Linked DNA regions of Arabidopsis thaliana. The protein of the gene in region 2 binds, or shares a complex with, the protein of the main gene of each other region. Each region holds a gene or a part of one and is shown on either strand. Other genes may lie near its edges.

Region 1 (4,855 bases), 2.9 Mb from region 2:
TCTATTGGTTAGTCTCTCACCATAAATTTTGATATTTTTGGGGATACAAAGATGTATTATATAAAAAGTTTTTGTTTGATCTTTACGTGAATCTTAAAGATGAAAAATTGTTGTTTGCATGTTATAGATGTCGTTGAAGGATCCGGAAGTTCGTTGTGCTGTAACACACATGCGAAATTTGGAGCTTGCAACACATACCAAGACAGAAAGAGATGCAACAAATGGTGTCTTGATGGATGTGATAATAAGAAAGGCGGTTTTTGCAAACGTTTTGCTGGTGGAGCAAAAAAATGCCATTGTTACTGTTAAAAAAAATATGTTTTTATGCTTGCGTTTGCAATCCTCGATTGCTTATTCTAACTAGTATTAAACTCAAAATCTTGTCTTCACTGTTGATTATATCTTTAGTATGTGAAATGGTCACTCCTGAAAACTTCTTTCACGTTAGTTTAAACTTTTCAAGTTAACAAAATTTGTTTAAAATCGTATCTAAACCAAAACGGTACCAAACCAAATAGAATATAAAATTGTTTTGCTCATAGGTATGACCTCAGAATAGCGATACAATCGTGTTTAAACAAAAAGGACCAATAAGCTATCGGCAAAAATAAAACTAACACCAATGTCTCAAATATGTTTTGGTCTTTGTAGCAGCAGCTAGAGTAATAATACTGGTACAAAACAAACAAAAACATTGAAAAGTACCAACATCACAGACTTAATCTTCCTGATTAACTTCAAGGTTCTTCAGCTTCGATTCCAGCTCACCATTCCCATTACCTTCGTTCTCTTCATCTTCTTCGTCTTCCTCATCATCATCATCTTCTTCTCCATCAGGATCATTCTCATCCAAAGCTCCAAGTAACTCTGGGGATTTCTTGAATATCTCTTTCAATTCTTCAATGCCTTCTTCTGATATGATGTTCCCGTCAATGTTCAACAGCTTGAAAGCTTCTTTCTTCACAACAACATGAGCCAAGGCTCGTGCTCCGGCTCTTCTTATGTAGTTGGTGCTCATATCGATGTATTGCAGTTTTGAGTGACCCTCTTCTATACAATTTGCAATCTGGACACATCCCTCATCTTTCAGCTCATTCTCAGACAAATTCAACTTGTTCAGATCTTGTTTTGCTGCAACACAGGCTGCGATAGCTGAAGCAGCTTCAACTGTTATGTCATTTCCTGCCATCTCTAGAACTTCAATGGGCGAAGCAGACTCCTTTAGAGCGTTTACTATGGCTATGGCACCTTCATCCTCTAGATTTAGATAACTCAAGTAAAGCTCAGTCATGTGTTTGAAGCTTGAAAGAGTTTTGCTCAAAGAAACTCCGGCTTCTGTGCCAAACATATTATCCCGCAGATCAAGTTTCTCCATATGAGTACAATGCTCAAGTGCTTCTGACAAGGCGATTCCCCCTTTTGAGCCGACTCTTGTGGAAGAACAACGGAAATTCTCCAGCAGTGGGGAACGCTTGACAACCTCTGCAATAGCGAGTGCCCCTTCATCTCCCGTCATGTTATTATGAAAATGAAGGACCCTCAAATTCTCTGTTGAAGGAATCAACTCGGAGACCGCTTGCGCAGCTTCCTTAGAGATACCATCATTCATCAAATACAGCTCTTCCAAAGAGCTCAGAGATTTTAAGAGTGCCCCAAACGCTCTAACACCCTTCTCACCCAATGCATTATCTGATAAGTTGAGAGACGAGAGAATACTACCTTGCAGTGCGTCAGAAAATATATTCATAACCTCAAGAGCTTCAAGCTCAGGTCGTCCAGCAACAAAGTCAGACAAGTCAACTTCCTTAAGCTGATCTTTCAAAGACGCCAAGATAGGCTCAGCGACACGAGCAGCTCCCAAGCCAAAACTCCTATTACTAAAGCATATCTTAGTGTAGGCATTGCCAGGTTCCTTCAAAGGTTTGAGAAGCTCCTCAGCTTCCTCAGCCTCAATGAAAGCCCGTTTACCTTTAGAAATATCGAAAAAAGTTTCGCGGGGAGACACAGAATCCTCAGAAATCAATTCTCTTGCCGCAACTTTAGCAACAGGTCCTTTCTTGAGAACTTCTAAGATAAGCTTACTGCATTCTTTGGCATAAAGCTGTACAGCTGAACCACCATCACCATCAGGCTCCCTCTCAAACTGTTGGTTAGCAGTGGAAAAAGCAATATCTTCGATCCTCTTAGCGTTCTCCGTAGCCTGGTCTTTGGTTAAGCTACCGTACTTCTCAGTGAAAATAGTCTTGGAAGAAAAATTGTTGGTTATACGCTCAATGAGAGCTTTTCTTGTAGGTAAACTCGGTGGCCAGAGTTTAATCGAAAATGCATGAGGTCGAGAATCAAGTATATCAGCCATTATCGCAAATCCAGAGTTTTAATATCACTGCAAAAACATACACACAAAAGTTAGAAATAATCAGAGGAGGCTCTATCGTAATCACTAATCACTTAGGAGGATTAACATTGAGCCCAAAGGAATAACTAATTGATAAATCAGAAAATGCTGTGACTAAATCAATAACAGAGATTAAGGAGAGTAATCTCGTAAAGATCGGAGATCCTATAAGTGGATAGTTTCGAGAAGAAGCATTAAATCACCAACTACGAGGAAGGAACATCGGTGCTTAATCACAGGGTAAAATCGGATCAGACAAATAATTATCCGTTTGCGATGAGAATAAACGGAAATGAAAAGCGTACCGGACCGATGAAGATTGTCTGAATCTCGGAGCTCTGAGACTCTCTCTGGCTGCAAAATCGAGTGTGTTTTTAGGGTTTCTCCTTCACCGGAGCTCTTTAAAACTCCCTCCTACGTTCGTTGAACCAAAAGTCTCTATAGACTAATTTAAAAAAAAAAAAAAAGAGAAAGGTTAATAATTCATCGTGACTTGAGTAATTAATCACTTTGGAAGAAAACGTAATTAATTAGAACCAACCTGGTAATTTTGAATCTTTCATGTTAAAGAAAACTCCTTTATGTGTAATGTAATTTTCAGTGGCTTGTGCTACAAAATACTTACAAGTTACAGTCTCTAATCATCAGTAATACTTTCGATTGATTCTTTATTTGTAAAACAAAAATGGGATATTATGTTCTGTGTTGAATCATCTCTTAATTATTCAGACATGAACTCACTGGTCACCACTACCAATATCAAATCGTTACAGCTACGCTTAGTCACAACCTACCCAAAGTATCTTTTCTCAACAGAGAGGATAGTTGGAGAGTGGATTTTGAATTGAATAGTGGAAGTTATACCACAATGGTATTTTTGGATACAAAGGGTAGCGATTTCATTCAAGACCGATTGTGATCAGAGGAGATTAATTAATACAATACAAAATGACCAAAACGAACCAAAAAGCACAGCAAATAACTAAGACAACCCAGTACAGGACGATAAAGACCTCTAATGGCGGCTCTTGATCTCTCTCTCTCTTTCTCTCTATATAATTCCTTGTCTACTTACCTCTAGTTAAGTGCAGTCTTCTTCTTCCGCATTCTACAACCTCAAGCTTTGCAGGTTTGTAGTAGACTTTGTTAGGGCTCTACAAAAGTACTCTCTTATCTCTGGTATTGTTCTCTGCACCAGCTCGTTCTGCCTGCATTTTCCATTCACTTTTGTTTCAGACTAATAGCAATAAAACAAATCTTAGTGGAGAGAGAGAGTGACATCTTGTTTATATTACCAAGGCATTGAACTCAGTTTATCGAAATGCTCCAGGATGAACATGATACAAGCTTGCCTCAGCGACATCGCATGGAATGCTTCTGATAGCTCGTACATGTCTCCTATACTTTCCAACGTAATATCCTTTCATATTCAAAGTAACCGTGTCAGATTTCGTTAAGTACTACGCAAACCACATCATCACTTTACATTGTGATATAATTCTGGCTCACCTGAGCAATTGTGTATTCACAGAGTCGTTTCAGGCCCTCCAAGAGATACTGATCCGCTGCTCTTAGAAGATCTTTTGATATCTCATTTGTTATGTCGACAGATCCAGTGTATATAAACCTGAAAATCATAATCCAAGGGAGTCAATTACGTGTATATGAAAAGTTCTCACAGACTTTTCGAAATTTCAATATCTCGAGTGAGTCAATCAAAAGCATGCAGAGGTTCATTCATCATACCTCATCATTAACTCAAACACCTCCCATTTGATATTTGGAATCTCAATATCTCTAGCGTCTTTTTCCTGTGATATAAACGAAACACAAACCGTGACACAATTCAGGTCTAATTTCCCCAAAAGATAATTGTATTCCTTTGATAAATAGCAGACCAGCATACATCCATACGTCATTGTCATCAAAATATCATTTACCCCACAAGAACATTATCGAAAAACCAAAATATTTAGTTCACTTACTCTGTAACCACCATCAAACATTGCACGAAATGCATCTGAGGATGCCAGCAGACAAATTCTGTGTGCATAGAATGTCCTTCCTGCAGTATGATTTTTCTGTTTTACATATGGACTTTGAAGCTAACTAGAGTTCCACAACTTCTGGATTTATATATGATTACCTTCGACTAGAAAGGTTACATCAGACAGCGTAGCATTATTTACATATTGCTCTCCGAGATAAACCTGTCACAAAAAGACATACAGAATACTGCATTGAGACTTCCACCCGTTACCTATAGGAGAACTGAAGCAGAAAGGAAACTCACCCTTTGTGTTGGAGAAGGAGGAGCAGCATCAACTGGAGAAAGTGCCATAGATTTATTTGCTAATTTGTACAACGCTGCTGCACCGTCAAGTTGCTGCTTAGTGTTTAAAGAACCAAGAAGACCGAGTAGCAACTCCAACCCTGTCAAAAGACAACTCAATATTAACT
Region 2 (5,445 bases):
CATTTTCGGAAGTTAAGATCTTTTCTAGCTAATGGGTCCATTCTAAGATATAGACAACTATTGCATTACCTATAGTTTTACGTTTCCCTCAACAGAAGAAGAAGAGGCATTGCCATGGGAAATACGGGTTAAGATAGCCATTGGAACAGCTCAAGGTCTCGCGTTTCTTCACTCGATCAAGAACAGCCCCCTAAACCGAGAACTCAGGATGCATAACATTATGCTTGACGAGGTGGTAATTGTTTTATTTCCATCCTTCTTCTCTCTTTTTGTTTATGATCTTAGAAATTAATATCTAAGTTTGGATTTCATCAGCAATACAATGCAAAAACTGTTCTATCTCGAACCAACCAAACGAAGCTTGGTAGATGAAGGTCTCAAGAGGGGAAGATTTACATACCTATCTCCTGAATGGGGATCGTTAGGTACACGAAAGCATTAACTTTCGTTTTACAAATTCTGAAAAATCTTTCGTTGTTCAACGTTAAGACAATTGTGTAATGTATGTGTTAGGTATTTTGGATATGACGACCGATGTTTACATTTTTGGTATGATCTTGCTTGAACTTTTAATGGGTTCCAAGGATAGAAAAAAGATTAAGGAAGAGCAAGGCTTAGTAGATTACTGGACCTCATCTTTCTTGCCAGATAATTATAAGATTGAGGAAATAATCGATCCCCGACTTGGGAGCGATTATTCTGCGAATGCGGCGACACAGATGGGCACACTCATCAACCGATGCACAGCGCATAATACAAAGAAACGGCCATTGATGCAACAAGTATTGGATGGTCTTAATCATATTGCAGAGATTAAGGACTAATGTGTAGAGAGGTACTAATACTTGACACTGAAAAAGATATTGTAATAACACAAAATACCAGTGTCGGGGTTAATTATATAGCAGATTTTCTGTAACTGGGTAGCCAAAAAGAACTAAAATATAATCTGTCATTGTAAACTATGACAAAGAGAGTACAAAACTGGAGACTGAGATTTTGGAAAAAGTTAAAGACTCTTACATGTTTTGCTGGGATATAACATAAGCTATCGACGATATTAAGATCACGAGTATTGCAACGAGAATGTGTTTGAACCTAAGAGCTCCAACATCTAATCTCCTTACACTTCCAATATCTGATTTTGAACCTGTTTCTTCCTCCTACAAAAAGGTGACCACGGTTACTAACGTCAAGCTTAGATTCATAATATTCGATTGTTGGACTAAAGCTTAATGGTATAACTCACTTAGATGCCAGCAAAAGATCAGATTTTTTGTAAGGTAGAATTATGTTACCTCTGGATTAGTTAATGAAATGAAGGTGGCTTGAAGTCTACTTCCTTGATGGCAAGAAGAAGCATTCTGGTCCGACTTTGGTGAAACTTCACTTCCATTGCCACTTTCCATATAACCAGTTTTTCCAACCTTTTTCAACTTCACCATCAACACACAATTCTCTCTTGACAGGTTAGTTATCTGCAAATAAGTCACTATATCTAAGAATCCACTGTGATGATGATGAAGCTACAAGGACATGAACTAACAGCGAACTGGGGTTTTACGAATATGGTAATACCTGTTTATGAAGTCGTTCTCGTTCAGCAGCTAGTTGCATGACCAGTTTTTTCATGATCTTGTTATGTACCCCGATATCTTTGGCGGTTCGCAATTTTCTTTCTTCTGCTTGCTGTAAATATTTCTCCCCTTCTTTCAATCTACCCTTAAAGAATTTCAGTTCTTCGTTGACCTCTGCGTTAGACTCAGATACCATGATCAACTTCTCTTCGGTAATGTCGGCCCTGTTTTCAGCCTTCAAAACTTTTGATTTTAGATCCTCGATCACATCCTCCATATCAGAAACAGTAGAATATAACAAGTTCTGCTTTTCTTTACTTGCTTCAACAGCTGCAACTGCATGTTCTAGTTGTAGATCTGAGTCCCTCAAGTGTTTCTCAAGCGATGCTAACTTATGTATAGTGAAGCCCTTGTCTCTGAAATTCCCCAACTCGTCTTGAAGCTCCTTTTTGCTTTCTTCTAGGATTTTGCACTTGGATTCTGTTTCCTCAGCCCTTGCTTCAGTTTTGGCTAATTTATCTTTCAGTTCCTCGTTGATACGTTCAAGATCTGTTATCAGAGCACCAGAAGTAGCATCCGCATCTTCTGTTTGAATCCCATATTCATTCAGTTGTTCTTCAAGGGAGCTAACTTTCTCACTTAATGTGGAATTCTCAGTGTTCAACAAAATCAATTTTTCTTCAGCCTCTTGCAAACTCTCTTTTAAGCCTTCTGTTTGTGCCACAAGAAAGTCAGCAAGTCTTGCATTGCTGCTATCAAGCTTGTGCAAGGCGCATTCCTTAGCTTCTAAACGTTCCTTTGAATCAACAAGCTTAGACTTCAAGTTGTCTTCCCGCTTAAAAGAGCCACTTAGATTGAACTGAAGAATCTGGAGTTTTCCAGACATCTCCTTTGACGTTCCCTTAAAGACTTCAGCAGCATTATCTGCCTCAAGCCACCTGGAGAACGCATCTTCGGTTACTTCTTCCATGTAGACAACATCCTGCTCAGAAGAATACAGTTTCATCTCTAGTTCTCGTTCAGTATTTCTTGATTCACTTAGTTTCTTCTCAAGTTCCATCTCCTTAGCCAAAGATTTCTCAAGCATCCTTAAAACATTCCTTTGCTGATCAGCAGTCTGCATATTGATCTTAGCGCTCAGATCACCAAACTCACCATCGTTTTGAGACACTGAAGTTTGCCCTCCAGACCCTGCAAAAACAAAGTTATATAGTATTCATTAAAGCCTGAAATTTTTCTCACCAAGTGATCATCACAACAAGGTTAAAAAGAAAGCTAGATTGGTCACTTACAGCTTCCTTGTTCATCCAAACCAGAAGATAACCTCTGAAAGTTAGAAGATTGCTTCTTCATTTCCACTACTTGTTCCATTAACTGACCCAAAGATTGTTCAGTATCATTCAACTTCCCTTCCAAATCCAAGAAAGCTTCTCCATCATGTTGAAACGGAGATATCATGACACGGGCGCTTTGAATCTCGTTCTGGAGAAAACCAAGAAGCGATTCAAGTTCTTTCACCTCTGAATTGAGAATTGAAGACAAGAGATCAAACTCCAATGCCTTCTCAGCAGAATCATCATCATCATCAACATTACTCGAAGGCTCTTCTTCATCTTCTTCTTTCTTAGAAACAAAAGACTCAAAATCATTTTCCCTCGTGCCGAGTTGCATAGTAAGAAGACTAAGATTGACCAATTTCTCAGAGACAAAAGCAAAATCCAATTCAACTTTTGTCAAAACTTCGCCTGCACTTGAAAGTTGAGGATTCATAACTTGCCCAGTAAGCGAGAGATCTTCAAAAAAGCTTTCTTTCGTTGAGCTTGGCTCAGGTACAAGGCTGTCGTTGTCATCGACAGAGACAGTTCTATCATGTTCCGTTTCTGTTTCCATCTTTCAATATAACTGCAACAGAGAAAGTATAATCACTTTTGTCAAGTAATTGAATTAAGAGATCGGAAACAATAGAGGTTCTGCTAAATCACAAGAACTTTTCGATTCCTGAGGAAATCTAGGTAAAAGTTCCGATTTTTTACTTGATTCCGATCGAGATTGAAGCAAAATGAATGAAAAGGAGAAAACTTACAGTTAGAAACGAACGACACGACGATTAAGATCAAAGACGCTTCCTTTAGAAGGAAATGATCGAGAGATACAGAGATCGAGAAGAAGAAGAAGAAGAAGGACTCGGATTTGTAATTAAACGAATATTGTTTGACAGTAACTCTTTACTAATTTTTTAAGATGCTTTTATTAAAAAAAAACTCGAGTATCGAAAATACACGTCTCTGTTCTATATTTTGTTTGTTTCCAGATTTGGGACATGCGACTGTTACACCAAATAGACTTGACAACAACAACAACAACAACAACAACAACAACAACAACAACAACAACTAACTGAGAATATGAAAACTGAGATACCGCCTAAAAAGTAATTGAATTTATTTTAGTCAATTCTCAACTCTACATTTACAATACATAGCAGATTGCTATTCCAAAATCAGGATATCAAATGGGCTCTTGAATTCAGAATGTATTATCTACAAATTCTGTTTAAGAAACTCCTCTTTAAGTCTCTTGTGAAGGTAAATCCCATATGAGAAGGTTAAGCTAGCTCATGAGAAGCAATGCTTCACGAGTTCGGCCCAAAAGACTCAAAGCGGTTGCTGCTATGTGATGTCCAGTTAGCCCTGCAAGAGCAAGCTGCTCCCTAGGCGATGCTTCTTCTATGTAGCCATCCGGTAACACAATGGGTCTCCACTACACAATGTTAAGAGCAAAATTACAACTTAAAACCAAAAACAGGTGAGAACATGAGGTTTTGATTTGTCTCTCTACCTTGATATTCCCATCGAGCTGGCCATCGAGGGCTATGAACTGCGCCACATGAGAACCAAACCCTCCAACACAGCCTTCTTCGACAGTGATAAGGAATTTGTGGTTCTGACAAAGATCACGCACAAGCTTGATGTCTAGGGGTTTGCAAAATCTTGCATCAGCTACAGTCACGTTCAAACCGAGTTTCGAGAGAAGCGAGTGAGCATGAAGACAATTCTGAACCATCGCTCCATAACCAAGTAAAGCCACATCTTGACCTTCTACGAGAACTCTTCCTCTTCCGATCTACTCTAATATGATAAAGCAGTTCTTGTGTCACCACGGTCTGTTTTTGCAACCAAAAGATTTGAAGATTAGATTGGAACTTACTTCAATTGGTAATCCAGTGGGGACAAGATAATTCATGTTGACGATGGAGCCTCTAGGGAACCGGAAACATACTGGGCGGTCAGTGACATAAGCAGCAGTTGCAACCATATTTACAAGCTCATCCTCATCGGCTGGAGCCATGGCTATCATGTTTGGTAAGGATGACATGAAAGCTATGTCAAAAGCTCCACACTGCACTGGACCATCGGATCCAACAAGCCCTGCGCTTGTAATAACAAATCGCACCGCCTTTCTCTGCCGATCTACATCATGGACCACCTAAAGAAACCATCAAAGACACTAAGGCCATTTGCTTGTAATAAAAACCTTTTAGAACAATTTTATTTTGTGCTAGAGGAAAGTGAAACCTGGTCATAAGCTCTTTGTAAAAAAGCAGAGGGAATAATACAAAATGGCTTGAGACCTCCAGAAGAAAGACCAGCAGAGAATGTGACAGCATGCTGTTCAGCCATTCCGACATTGAAAAATCTGTCTGGAAATCTCTCCTGAAATGTAAGAAGTGACGGATCCATCTCCATTCCTGCATGAACTACAACAATATCTCTATCCTTTTCTGCCTCCATCACCAAAGCCTCAACAAAGCAATCACTGTAAGTGCGTCTGTCTGAGACAAAAAAAAAAACTACAAAGTCAAGATTTT

What was found.
Region 1: WIT1 (region 2) and RANGAP2 share a complex: the UniProt entries of both Arabidopsis thaliana proteins name them as parts of the ran complex.

The regions. Positions count from the first base shown.
Region 1 is NC_003076.8:6,504,592-6,509,446, forward strand, and holds RANGAP2 (RAN GTPase activating protein 2), read right to left. Parts: upstream 3,055-4,855; 5' UTR 2,937-3,054; intron 2,848-2,936; exon of another isoform or gene 2,841-2,847; 5' UTR 2,701-2,840; intron 2,384-2,700; 5' UTR 2,357-2,383; coding exon 719-2,356; 3' UTR 501-718; downstream 1-500. Other genes in the region: AT5G19315 (Defensin-like (DEFL) family protein), read left to right, coding at 1-7, 128-309; ARIA (ARM repeat protein interacting with ABF2), read right to left, coding at 3,504-3,603, 3,691-3,815, 3,905-4,022, 4,142-4,206, 4,381-4,460, 4,542-4,605, 4,689-4,828. UniProt on the Arabidopsis thaliana protein: GTPase activator for the nuclear Ras-related regulatory protein Ran, converting it to the putatively inactive GDP-bound state.
Region 2 is NC_003076.8:3,631,993-3,637,437, reverse strand, and holds WIT1 (WPP domain-interacting protein 1), read right to left. Parts: upstream 3,790-5,445; 5' UTR 3,661-3,789; intron 3,480-3,660; 5' UTR 3,468-3,479; coding exon 2,870-3,467; intron 2,769-2,869; coding exon 1,579-2,768; intron 1,479-1,578; coding exon 1,299-1,478; intron 1,164-1,298; coding exon 1,020-1,163; 3' UTR 825-1,019; coding exon of another isoform or gene 514-824; 3' UTR 504-513; downstream 1-503. Other genes in the region: AT5G11400 (Protein kinase superfamily protein), read left to right, coding at 1-11, 96-162, 316-425, 514-824; DXPS3 (1-deoxy-D-xylulose 5-phosphate synthase 3), read right to left, coding at 4,188-4,337, 4,416-4,700, 4,785-5,063, 5,153-5,409. UniProt on the Arabidopsis thaliana protein: Together with WIT2, required for the nuclear envelope docking of RANGAP proteins in root tips.